Coturnix japonica: one gene and its partners. The protein of the gene in region 3 binds, or shares a complex with, the protein of the main gene of each other region. Links are inferred from orthologs where the notes say so. Each region holds a gene or a part of one and is shown on either strand. Other genes may lie near its edges.

Region 1 (4,096 bases), on a different chromosome or scaffold from region 3:
TGGATTACTGCAGGGCAGAAGGCAGCATCCTATCAGCCCAAATATGTGAATAGATCAGGAATTCCAGCACTGCTGGGCAGCAGGGAGAGCTGTGAGCATCCCCCCTGCAGCTGGGGATGAATTTACCTGGTTGCTTTCAGGACTGAGCCGCCCTCCTCCGCTGGGTGTACCCGGCATCTTTGCCACGGCGGTGCTGTTTGCCATGGAGCTTTGAGGGGGAGTGCTGGCAGGTTCAGGCTTTATGGAGGAGAAGTTGGAGAGGTTGATCAAGGTAGATGGGCCAAACTGGTTCATAATCTGTTGGGCTTTAGCTTTTAGATCATAAAGCTTGTCGAGGTCCTGCTTCTTCTTGGGGTTGTGGGGACCCAAACCGATCAACTGGAGAGAGGGAGACAGACAGTCAGCAAACAGAGCAGGAATCTAAAGGGGGATCCAAAGTACTGACAGGACCCAGAGTTCATAGATGGGTCTCTGGACCTGAACGTTTAGAAGACATTCCCTGGTATATGGGCAATGAAGTCTTCCCTGAGAAGCACAGCAGCTGCATGCAGCACCCTGACATCAGCGGCTCCTCACCCTGCTGGATCCTGCATGTGTTCAGCCTCACAGCAGGGCCTGCCTGAACCACCTCACACGTACTGCAGGAGGCTTCGAGGGTGAGACCAGAGCTGAGATTTAACCTAAGGACACAGCCCAGCCCGCAATGCACAGCAGGCTCGAGCCCTGTCTGTGCTCAGTCCACAAACCCAGGAGGCAGAAGCCTAAACCAGAAGACAACCATGCTTGGGCTCCCCTCACTGCGGGTCTCAGTTTTTGCAGCAATCCCCCTCCTGAAATCCAGAGCCATCTTCACAACACAGAGCTCAGCTCCAGCTCTAAGGAACAGCGACAAGAGAGGAAACACAGACGTGGCTTCGCATGGAGGGACACCAAAAGCCACAGTGAGGAAACCTAACAGGGGAGGTTGTGGCAGCACAACGTGCAGCTCAGCCCTCCTGGGGTCACCACCACGTGCCTGTGGTTACTCACATTGTCGGCTGCATGGACGGAGCAGAGCTGCTGTGTGCAATGCACTCACAGTGATGAGCAGAGCGTCTCCTGTCTCAGCTACAAACACGTTTTCCCTTCAGCAGAGCAAGCTGTTAGTTCGGATTAATCCATACAGAAAACAAAACCAGAGATCAGGCTCAGCCAGCGGCTGTTTTAGTGCTTCACAAACACAAACCCATGCGGAGCTCTCCTACAAGAGACTTTACATTGAGCCCAATGGCACAAGGCCCTTATGCTCAAACCTCAGCATCCTCAGCGCTGTTTCATTGCACACCTGGGTTTGCACAGGGGCTGCCTGCAGGCTGTTTGCTCCCATGCTTTATATCCACATCCACCAAGCAGGAATCCTCACCATCCATGCAGGGAAGGAGCCAACACCTGTTACATGGCTTTACAAAACCATGACAGCAATGATTTGAAACCCTGGGCAGGATGCACTTCGTTGGTATAAAGCCACTTTGCACATCATTCTCCTGATCTTATGGCACCTTTTGGGTGCTGTTAAGATCACTGAAGGCAAAACACCCACGGTGAGGCCCTGCATGCCAACTCAAGGCAACCTCACTCCGTTTACTTACAGCTATCTGCGTGTCTAGATCTTTAATTACATCAGCCACTGCTGTGGGCCCAGCGAACGGGGAGGCCATTTCCCAAAGCCTTCCTTGGGGTCAGCAGCTTAAACTACTGTGTTCCACATCACTCCCAGTCCTACAGGACTCCTACAGGAACACCAGATATTGGCACCCAGCCCCAATTAACAGGGAACACTTTGGCCATTCCCAATTAACAGGAAGCACTTTGGATCCATGAGCTCCTGTTGGATGTGCTGCTCATCCATCCCAATTCTCCCTCTCAATTTGAAGCCGTTCCCCTTTAACCTGTCATTCCCATGTCAAATCTCCCTCCCACTCCCCTTTATCCTGTTGTTATCATGTCAGATCTCCTTCCCATTCCCCTTTATCCTGTTGTTATCAACTCAGATCTCCCTCCCATTCCCCTTTATCCTGTTGTTATCATGTCAGATCTCCCTCCTACTCCCCTTTATCCCATTGTTATCACATCAGATCTCCCTCTCATTCCCCTTTATCCCGTTGTTATCATGTCAGATCTCCTTCCCGTTCCCCCTTATCCTGTTGTTATCATGTCATATCTCCCTCCCATTCCCCTTTATCCCATCGTTATCAGCTCAGATCTCCCTCCAGTTCCCCTTTATCCTGTCGTTATCATGTCAGATCTCCTTCCCATTCCCCTTTATCCTGTTATCACATCAGATCTTCCTCCCATTCCCCTTTATCCCGTTGTTATCAGCTCAGATCTCCCTCCCTTTCTCTCCTATCAGCCCACATCCCCCTCCAATCACTCTCAATCAGCTCCCATGGATCTCAATGCTGCACACCCCACACGGACACCCAGCGGCTCACCCCCAGCCCTTTGATACACGGCTCATATCGCCCTATACAGCCCGTATTACAATCCCTACGGGCCGCCCCGTGCTCTCCTTACATCGGGAGGCCTCAATCAGCACCAAGACCCGGCAAATCACCGGGAGGACAACGCAGCCCCTCGTAGCCGACCTCAGCCCCACCGGTACCGGCTGTACGGCCCCATATAACCCCATATAACCCCATATCGCCCCATATAACCCCATATAACCCCATATAACCCCATATAACCCCATACAGCCCCGTACCTCCCCATGCCCCGCGGGCGGACCGAGGCCCAGCCGCCGGAAGTACTATCGGCGCCGTGGGACGCACTGCGCGTGCGCAATGTTGGGTCTGTAGGAGGCGGGGATTGAGAGCAACCCAGCATGCACCGCGTGATTTGCATAATGCTCCCAGAGCAACGGGGCGGGCGGGAAAACGAGATTTTTGAGTGAAAAAAGATGTGAAAACAGCCAAAAGCGCAGCGATATGAAGGGGGAAAGGTGGGGGATGAGGTATTTCACATCATCTTCGCTCGCCCGGAGCTCGAGGGGATTGCGCTGCTCGTAATATGCCGCATCGGGATAGCGGAGCTTTAAAAAGGGCTTCTGCCGTGCGTGGCACGGGGGGGCTGCGGCCGCCCCCGCGGAATCGACATCAAGAGATTTCGGAAGCACAATTTTTGTGGGGGGGGTCGCCGGTAACCGACTGTTCCGGCGCCCCGGGCGGTGTGTGAACGGCAGCGATAAGAGTAGGGGTCCCTATAGTGGGTGTCTATAGGGGGGCTGAGACTGTAGTGGACCCCCCCCCCCCATAGGGCTGTATGTGATGGGGTTGGGGCTGTATGGAACCAGGCACCATCTGTACCCAGAGCTTCTACCCACCTGTGTGTCCACACAGCTGATGGAGGATCGCTCTGTATCCATGTATGTATATATAGATATGGATATATTTAAATATTAGTGCACATTTCCTTATAAAACCCCTCTGTGCCCCCCCACACAACGAAGGCCTCCAGCTGTATGTGCAGCCTCACCAGGCCTCGTGGTACACGTGTGAGCAGGGACAGTCTGTGGGCTCATCTGAGCCGGGTCCATCCGCACCGACCTCCTCACCCCCATTGGGGCCAGCAGTCCGCTCTGCACCGGGTGGGGCTGAGCCCAGCACAGGGGGCTGCAGAGGGGGGGCAACGTACCGTGATGGGGGGGAGGATGGAGAGCCGGCACGGCTGGGGTCGGTGCGGGTCCATTTGGGGTCGGTGCGGGTCCATTTGGGGTCGCTGTGGGTCCATCGGGTGCCGCTGGGTTCGGGCTCACCGAATGGTGTGGCGTATTCGGGTTCTGGAGGAAGAGGCTCCGCGTATTCGTGGTGTTTACCTGGCACGTCGTAATGGCTGACGACCAGTGGTAAGGTATAGCCTTCATCTGGGGGGGGTTTGAAGGTGGACGAGCCCAACTGGCTGCTGGGGCTCAGCTGCACCACGTCTGGCTCAGCATAGTCTGCAATGGGGTAACACAGCTCTGAGATGGGGCTGGCCATGCTAAGTTTGTAGCCCCACGTCCAGCCCTGGCTTTCAGGTGTTGGTGTGGAGCACGGTACCCACCCCACACCTCCCTGTGCCT
Region 2 (4,234 bases), on a different chromosome or scaffold from region 3:
ATTGCAACAGGAGCCACATGGTTTCAATAAAAGTTGCAGATATAACTGCTTCTACAGACACAAAGATGTTCGTGCAGCAATTTTATATTTTAATCCAGCTTTAAGGACTTGAAAACTATTTTGCAGCACGTAGGAAGTGATCAGATCCTCGGAACTGAGTTAAACATGGAGATTAATTTTTCCTTATTGTCAGCCACGAAAAGATCCAACTCATAAGCCAGTATGAAGTGCTAGAACTGGTTATTATATGCTTAATATAGTAATACTTGCTAAAATAAACTCATTCTAAACTTCTGCATTAGGCAGAAGATCACAGTACAGGAGTTTCAATATCAGTTAATAATGATGTACAAACTTAAGAGTAATTAATCAAAAATAACAGTGTATTTTCTGAATTACTCTCATCCTTAGAACATGCTATCCTCCCGTTAATGCAATTTAATGGATTCCAAGCTATCTAGTAATAAAATTAAATTCAAGTGAAACATTTTCCACACTATTGTTTCCAGAACTGCCTCTAAACCTCTGACAAGATTGCTTTCAAGGGCTCCGTTTTCCCCTTCTGTTTAAAAACTACATAGTGGAACAAAGGCAATAAGCCGCAGAAACTGTATAGAAAGTCATGGTACAGTTTCTCACATGAATTTAGTATTAATCAAGCATATTAAAAATGTGAAATCAATCGCTAAAGCCACCAACATAGTGGGAATATAGCCAGACATTTTTAAACTAACCCCTTTGAGTTAGTCACGACTCCGGGAAACCTCTGAGCTTTATCCAGTTGGGACACCAGAATTTGGAGTTCCATAAACTACAGTTAAATACACAGCTACAGAAAAATTTATCTTAGCTAACAAAAAACAGCTATTAAAAGAAACATGGCAAAAGAAATTGATTATTTGAGGTTACATCAGCATCTCCAGGTAGTGTCACACTGCTGACCTCGATAGAAAAAAGAGGGGAAAAAAAAGTTTACATACCAATTCATCTCCCGGACCTGTAACAAACTTAGCAACTTTTTGCAACACTGTAATCTAAGCACAAACTGAGACCCTGGGAATGTTCAGGTAAAGTGGTACCTGGTACCGGGATGGGGAGATGCTGCTTTGATTCACCAGCTAAACTTGTAACTTTACAAAACAACACCAAGAAAATAAAAGGAGAACAAGCAGGACATGGGGAATTCTTCGTGGTTGGAAACAAAATCCAGTGATGGCAAGGCTGTGAGTACGCAGTAAGGGGCAACACAGTCACGCACCCCAAAAGGACAAACTTCACATTAAATCAGACTGTGTAGTATGGATACAGTCACCTGGTGCCCATCAGAAGGTGCTCACTGAAAACGAAAACTTTTCTCCATATCAAGAGATTGCAGAACGCTTCAAGAGAGACGTGATTCCTGGTTAACACACTCCAGATTGTTCTGGTGCACAGCTGTTTTTACACCGTTACAAAATAACTTACCGTGACCACCATTCTCCCAACGAGAGGAAACAAGTACTCGCCAAACAAGAGGCACAACTACTCTGCACCAACAGCAAAGTGCCCTAAGCCAACTACAACCTCGCTCATGCCGGACAGTCGGCCAGAACTCGCCCTCAGACGGGTGCTCGTCCTTTAGCTCTCAACACGCCGAGCAGCGGGAAAACGCGAACTTTGAAAACCTCCGTCAGAGAAAGGCCGAGCAGAGCCGAGCGCCCGCCCCGCCCGCCCCACTTACCGGGCGGGATGGTGAAGCCCGGCGGCAGCTGGATGGTGGTCTGCTGAGGCGGCCTGACGATCAGCTGCGGGGCCACCAGCCTCGGGGCGGCACCCAGGGCGGGCCGCGGCGACAGCGCCTGCGAAGCGGCTGGGAGGGCAGCGGCCGGCTTGGAGACGCCCGCGGGTTTGGCGGCCGAGCCCGGTCCCGGCGGGGTAGCGGCGGGCGCGGGGCTGGCGGAGTTGCCGAGTGCGTTTACTGCGGGCTGCGGGCCGTGCGCGGGCTTGGGCTGCGCCGCGCCGCCTTCCCTGCCGGCCGGGCTCTGCCGACCGCTGACCGGCGGCACCGCCGCCGCCCGAGCCCTGGCGCCCTCCCCGTTGGGCGCCGCCTCGCCGGGGAGCGGAGCGGGATCGGCGGAGTCGGCTCCCTCCGTCGCCGCCGCCCGCCCGCCGCCCTCCGCCCCGCTCCCCTCCGCGGCCTCGTTGCGCGGCTGCGGCTCCGCGGCGGGCGGGCTGCGGCCGGGACTGGGGCTGCCCGCGTCCCGGGAGCCGGTGCCGGCGGCCACATGGTTGTTGACAGGCGGGGCGGGCGGGGGCGCGGCGGGCTGCGACGGGGCCGGGGCGGCGGGGCTGCCGCCGAGCAGAGCCGCTCCATGTGATTGCTGCACACTACTACTGTTTACACTCACTCCCCGCCCCGCCGCCGCCGCCGCTACCGCCGCCGCTGCCGCCGGGGGGGACGGGGACGGGAGCGGCCCCGGGGCGGGGGCTCGGCTCTCCGCGGCTCCGGGACGGCCCGCCGCAGCCTCCTCCGCCCCGGTAGCGGGGGGGGGCGCGGGGTGCCCCCGCTGCTGCCGGACGGGGCTGCCGCCCCCCGCCAGGCTGCCCTGGCGCTGCTGCTGCGGCTGCTGCTGGGACGGGGCGGAGGTCCTGGGCTGGGGCGCCTCGGCCGAGCCCCGGCCGCCGGCCAGCTGCGATTCCAGGGAGCCCACCAGGTCGCTGACCGCCTTCTCGTCCACCTCCTCGGAGAAGAGCAGCATCTCTTCCAGGGGGTCCGAGGCGCCCGCCGCCATCTTGCGCTGAGGTGGGAGCCGGCCGCGCAGCGCGCAGGCGCGCCGGCCTGTGTCGCGCGCGGGGCACCCTGGGAGGGGCCGCGTCCCTCCTCCCCTCGCCGTGGGGCGGGCGGAGTGTCGGTGTGTCGGTGTGTCGGTGTGTCGGTGTGTCGGTGTGTGTCGGTGTGTCGGTGTGTCGGTGTGGGCGCTTTGGGGCTCGATTTTCGGCACGGTTGCTGAGATGCTCAGGGTCCCGCTGCTCCCGGCCGGCAGTGCGGGCAGGGCCTGCCGACCTGCGTGGGAGCGTCGGGCAGCAGCGCTACGGCGGTGCGGGATTTCTGACGCCTGGTACAGCCTGCCCAGCCGGCTCGGAGCGCTGTGTGTTTGCACGCTGCGAAATGAAGCGCCGTGCGATCGAGATACCTGGAGCTCGCAAAGCTGCCAGGACCGTGTGCTTCGCCTTCAAGTCGTTTCTCATGTGAACAGCCCCAGGCAGCAGGCGGTGCTGAGCGGGAGCTGCAGGCGGGCGGCCAGAAGGCTCCGCTGCACAACGCAGGCTTGTTCTCCTAGGCAGCATCGTGCTCCCGAAGCTGTCAGTCCCGATACAGGCAGGCTGCCGTGTCTGCTTAAAGCTCTCGTGTCCTAAACTCCTGCGTTTCACTGTCAGTGGGAGGCTTGTAAACCACCAGACAGCTCTGCATCCTCACAGCGGCTGCCCTCATGCTGTTCCCTCACCATCCCCACTGGAAATGTGAGGCGGTTCATTCTGCTTGTAGCAATTTTGTCATTGCTTTTCTATACGCGCTTTTTCCATCACTGCTTTCCAGGAGGAAAACTGTAGCCCCAACCTGTAATTTGTTTGACAAATGACAGAGCAGTTTCTTTGATGGGACCTGCAGAGAAAGTGATTTTACCCACATCGCTTTCCACGATTCATTACATCCTTTCTTGCACACAAGCGATAACCACCGTGTATTTTTCAAGCTGACAGCAGAGAACAGCTTGGATTCCTGCAGCTGTCTGCTGACCTACCATAGCATGGATGTCTGCAGAGCTGGATGCCTTTGGTCTGCTACGCGGTGGCCTGAAATGATGACTCACTTTACGATGTTTTCAGGATTCTCCTCCAAACTGAAAGATGCAGAGCAGTGAATGACCATCCTGAGCACAAAGTGAACTCGTAGGAAAGAGTGTCGGTCTCACTATATCCACACAGCTGGTAACCCACTTTCAAACTCCAATTCACACTGTATGATCTGGCTGGAGTCACGAGGCTGAGCTGCCCATCACTTGTTACCATCCAGGTGACACATTTTTGTTCAGGGGAGTTTCTTTCCAGGTTCTATTCATGCTTTTAGGAACAGGTTGATGATAAATGAAAATAAACCACATCTAAAACGCATTAAGAATATCCAAACAAGGTCGTGTCTCTTTAATTAGGGAAGTTCAAATGTCTCCTGAAGTTAAACCAGCATTCAATATGA
Region 3 (3,599 bases):
GGAATCCAGCTTATGTTCTCCAGAATTGCTCAATGATGCAAAAAAACAGCAGGGTGATGGGGCGATGAATTTCAAAGTTGTGCTCCTGATCCAAACCAGCACACATACATGCTGACACAGGGGTGCTCCCATGTAATCGTAACAGTTAGTGTACCATACAGCAAGCTCTTAAGGTGAATCAGAAACAGAACCTAGCAGGTTGAACAAAATTCAGTCCATGGCTTCTAGCTGAGCCACTTCAAGAAAAACAAATCCAGTTTAGGAAGACATCTTCCTAGTAGTTAATTCGCCATCAAAATTCTACGATATTTAAACAAGACCGCTAATTCCAGTGGATTTTACTTACATGTACACATAGTGGATGCTATGATCCAGAAGAAGCTCCTCACTTTTCTTTCAAGTAGACTGGCATGAAGTGGTTTTAAGGACAGTTAATGTAGGAGGTAACATATGAGAGCTAAAATGCATGTGAACTTTTGATACTTTTTTGTTTCTGTAAAACACATTTTGAATTATCCCTAATGCTTATTTAAAATGCTCTTTGTTACAGAAGAGGAAGAGGAACAAGTACCAACAGATGGAGGTACATCTGCAGAGGCCATGCAGGTGCCACTGGAAGAAGAAGGAGATATGGAAGAGGACGAGGCAATTAATGATGAAAATTACTTGAGCAAGAGAACATTAGAAAGTCCTGATGCTGAAGAATTTCCACCCATGAAACGACCAAAACTGTCTGTTTCTAAAGGAGACGCTCTGGATGGAGCTTTGGAACCACGTGAGCCTCTTAGCTCAATAAATACTCAAAAAGTACCTCCGATGCTTTCTCCAGTTCATGTTCAGGACAGTTCAGACTTAGCCCCTCCTTCACCAGAACCACCAATGTTGGCTCCCATTGCAAAACCACAAGTGCCAGCCCCCAAGACATTAGAGTCAAAGCCACTTGCACCCAAAACAAAGTCCAAATCAAGTTCTCCAGGACAAAAGACAAAATCACCTAAAACTACCCCCTCACCAGTGGTTGCTGGAAGTCCCATACGTTCACCAAAAACTGGATCCAAAGAAAAAAAGTCACCAGGTCGCGCCAAGAGCCCCAAAAGTCCCAAAAGTCCAAAGGCTCCCGTTCATGTCCCCCCGCCACCTGTTAAACCTGAAACACCAAGCAGAACCCCTCTGGCTGCATTAAGTGACAAAATAGGAAAGGAAAACATTCAAGTAAAACAAGGACAGACACCACCTGAGCCTGTGACCAAGCCAAATATTGAAAACCAGACTAAGAAATTACCGGTGATGGACAAGACTATTGATGATTCAATAGATGCTGTGATTGCTCGTGCGTGTGCTGAGCGAGAACCCGATCCCTTTGAGTTTTCCTCTGGTTCTGAGTCAGAAGGGGAAATTTTTACCAGTCCAAAAAGACTTTCTGTTTCAGAGACTACAACTCCAACTCCTAAACCTTCTGTTTCTGCTAATTGTTCTAATAAGGCAGGAGCAACTCCGATACCTCCATCAGGTGGGACTTCGAGTTCAGACATTTCATGGACAATGGATGACTCAATTGATGAAGTCATTCGAAAGGCAAACATGGGGACACCTTCTAATCCACCTGCAAACTTCACTTACTTCTCTTCTCCTTCTGCTTCACCGCCAACTCCAGAACCTCTTCTCAAAGTCTATGAGGAGAAAACCAAGTTGGCTTCCTCTGTAGAAGTGAAAAAGAAACTGAAGAAAGAGCTGAAGACAAAAATGAAGAAGAAAGAGAAACAGAAGGAAAAAGATAAAGAGAAAAACAAGGAGAAAAACAAAGAGAAGGAAAAAAACAAAGAGAAGGATAAAGACAAGGAAGGAAACAAGGAGGCGAAGTTTCAGTGGAAGGAACTTCTCAAAGATGATGAACATGATCCCTATAAATTCAAACTAAAAGACTTTGAGGATGCTGACACAAAAGTAAAGTTGAAAGATGGCAATACCAAAAAAGAGAAAGAAAAACATAAAGATAAGAAGAAAGAGAAGGAGAAAGGTAAAAAAGACAAGGATAAGAAAGACAAAGAGAAAGTTAAAGATAAGAGTAAGGAAGATAAGATAAAGCCCCCATCAGCACCTCTTGTGTTACCTCCCAAAGAAATGTCTTTGCCCTTGTTCAGCACACCAACTGCCATGAGGCTTCCCAGCATGTTACCTTCCTTGTCTCCTATGCTTCCTGAAAAGTTGTTTGAGGACAAAGAAAAACCAAAAGAGAAGAAGAAGGACAAAAAAGAGAAGAAGAAAAAGAAAGAAAGGGAGAAAGACAAAGAAAAGGAAAAGAAGGATAAGGAAAAGGAGAGGAAGGAAAGAGAGAGGAAGGAGAAAGAAAAAGAGAAACATAAACATGAAAAGGTGAGTTGTTTAAAAGAGCTGAGATGGCATCATTGTTTGACAAGTGCACATGGATTCCTGAATTTGCTGCTGAGAAGCATATGTGATACAGAAGATATGTGACCACAGACTTCATACACTTTAAAACAAACAAACAACCAGTGTTGTTTGTTGCTTCAATGTAAGAAGCACCCCAGAAATTTCAGGTATTACCCTACTTCTTTGGGAGGCAAAAGAATAGAAGCTCAATTTTGTGAGTTTGGAATATGAGATCTTGCCTTGATTTTGGTTTGAATTGGGTTGGTTTGGTTTTACGTGAGATTTCTGGTTTTCCTCAACTCACTTTTCGCTTTGGAAAGCCAAGACTTACACTCAGTGGCAAAATGCAGAACAAATGTATGCTCTGTTGCAATGCCCAAATTTTGTTCTGTGGATTTCCTCTAGTGAGGCCAACAGCCTTTCATATAAAATTCAAATACAGTTTCTAGAAGTTTACTGTTTCAAAGCCTGTAGAAGTCTGTAGGTTACTGGATGGCCATAAATGAGGAGCAGACCACCCTAGAATAAGTCATCATTTGTGTACCAGTAGAGCTACCAAATCCTCTATTAGGAAGACCTCAGCCTTCATGCTCCAGTTAGACAGAAGTAAGAAAATTGTTTTCAACCTGTAGTCTAAATGCATATTCTGAATATTCAAATATCACCTTTTGTTTTGATTTTTAAGCTTGAGATGGAGGAGACCTGGCTTTCAAATGGACTGAGCTGCTTCTTCTCCTGTAGCTCTTACTGGTTTATATCAGCCACGGACAGTTCCTTCTTTCCAATATCACCTAATCTTGAGAATATCTTTAATATATAAAAAATGAAACCAGCATATTTGCATGTTATCTGATTTTAAATCCCATTAGAAATGACTTCCCTAATTCAAGGTTTGCTGTACTTTTTGTCACTTAAACTTATATTGTGCATTCAGTTGTTAATACTAAAAGAAAAAAAAAGAGCAGAAAAGAAAGAGATTGTCTTGGATACTGATAACCTTGGATGCAGGATTTCTTAAATCTCTATCCTTAGCATTAGGAAGCACCGCTTACATTCTGGTTTTACAGAGATATTCTTTACGTTCTGCTTTGAGTATAATACTCACTTTGTACAAGCTCAGACTTGGGATATTCCTCGCTATCCATTTTCGATGCTGTGAGGGATGGTACCCTGGTGTGCTGTCTGGCAGACTTGAAACAAAATGCTGA

What was found. The genes of interacting proteins can lie anywhere in the genome.
Region 1: TAF3 (region 3) and TAF12 share a complex: the UniProt entries of both Homo sapiens proteins name them as parts of the TFIID basal transcription factor complex. The link is inferred for Coturnix japonica from reciprocal best matches to the Homo sapiens genes TAF3 and TAF12.
Region 2: TAF3 (region 3) and transcription initiation factor TFIID subunit 4-like share a complex: the UniProt entries of both Homo sapiens proteins name them as parts of the TFIID basal transcription factor complex. The link is inferred for Coturnix japonica from reciprocal best matches to the Homo sapiens genes TAF3 and TAF4.

Annotation. Positions count from the first base shown.
Region 1 is NC_029538.1:2,029,165-2,033,260, reverse strand, and holds the start of TAF12 (transcription initiation factor TFIID subunit 12), read right to left. Parts: upstream 2,817-4,096; 5' UTR 2,741-2,816; intron 1,770-2,740; 5' UTR 1,698-1,769; coding exon 1,629-1,697; intron 1,140-1,628; exon of another isoform or gene 1,030-1,139; intron 379-1,029; coding exon 127-378; intron 1-126. Other genes in the region: discoidin, CUB and LCCL domain-containing protein 1-like, read right to left, coding at 3,507-3,973. UniProt on the Homo sapiens protein: The TFIID basal transcription factor complex plays a major role in the initiation of RNA polymerase II (Pol II)-dependent transcription.
Region 2 is NC_029526.1:9,443,510-9,447,743, forward strand, and holds the start of transcription initiation factor TFIID subunit 4-like, read right to left. Parts: upstream 2,817-4,234; 5' UTR 2,772-2,816; coding exon 1,721-2,771; intron 1-1,720. UniProt on the Homo sapiens protein: The TFIID basal transcription factor complex plays a major role in the initiation of RNA polymerase II (Pol II)-dependent transcription.
Region 3 is NC_029516.1:3,778,063-3,781,661, forward strand, and holds part of TAF3 (transcription initiation factor TFIID subunit 3), read left to right. Parts: intron 1-550; coding exon 551-2,373; intron 2,374-3,599. UniProt on the Homo sapiens protein: The TFIID basal transcription factor complex plays a major role in the initiation of RNA polymerase II (Pol II)-dependent transcription.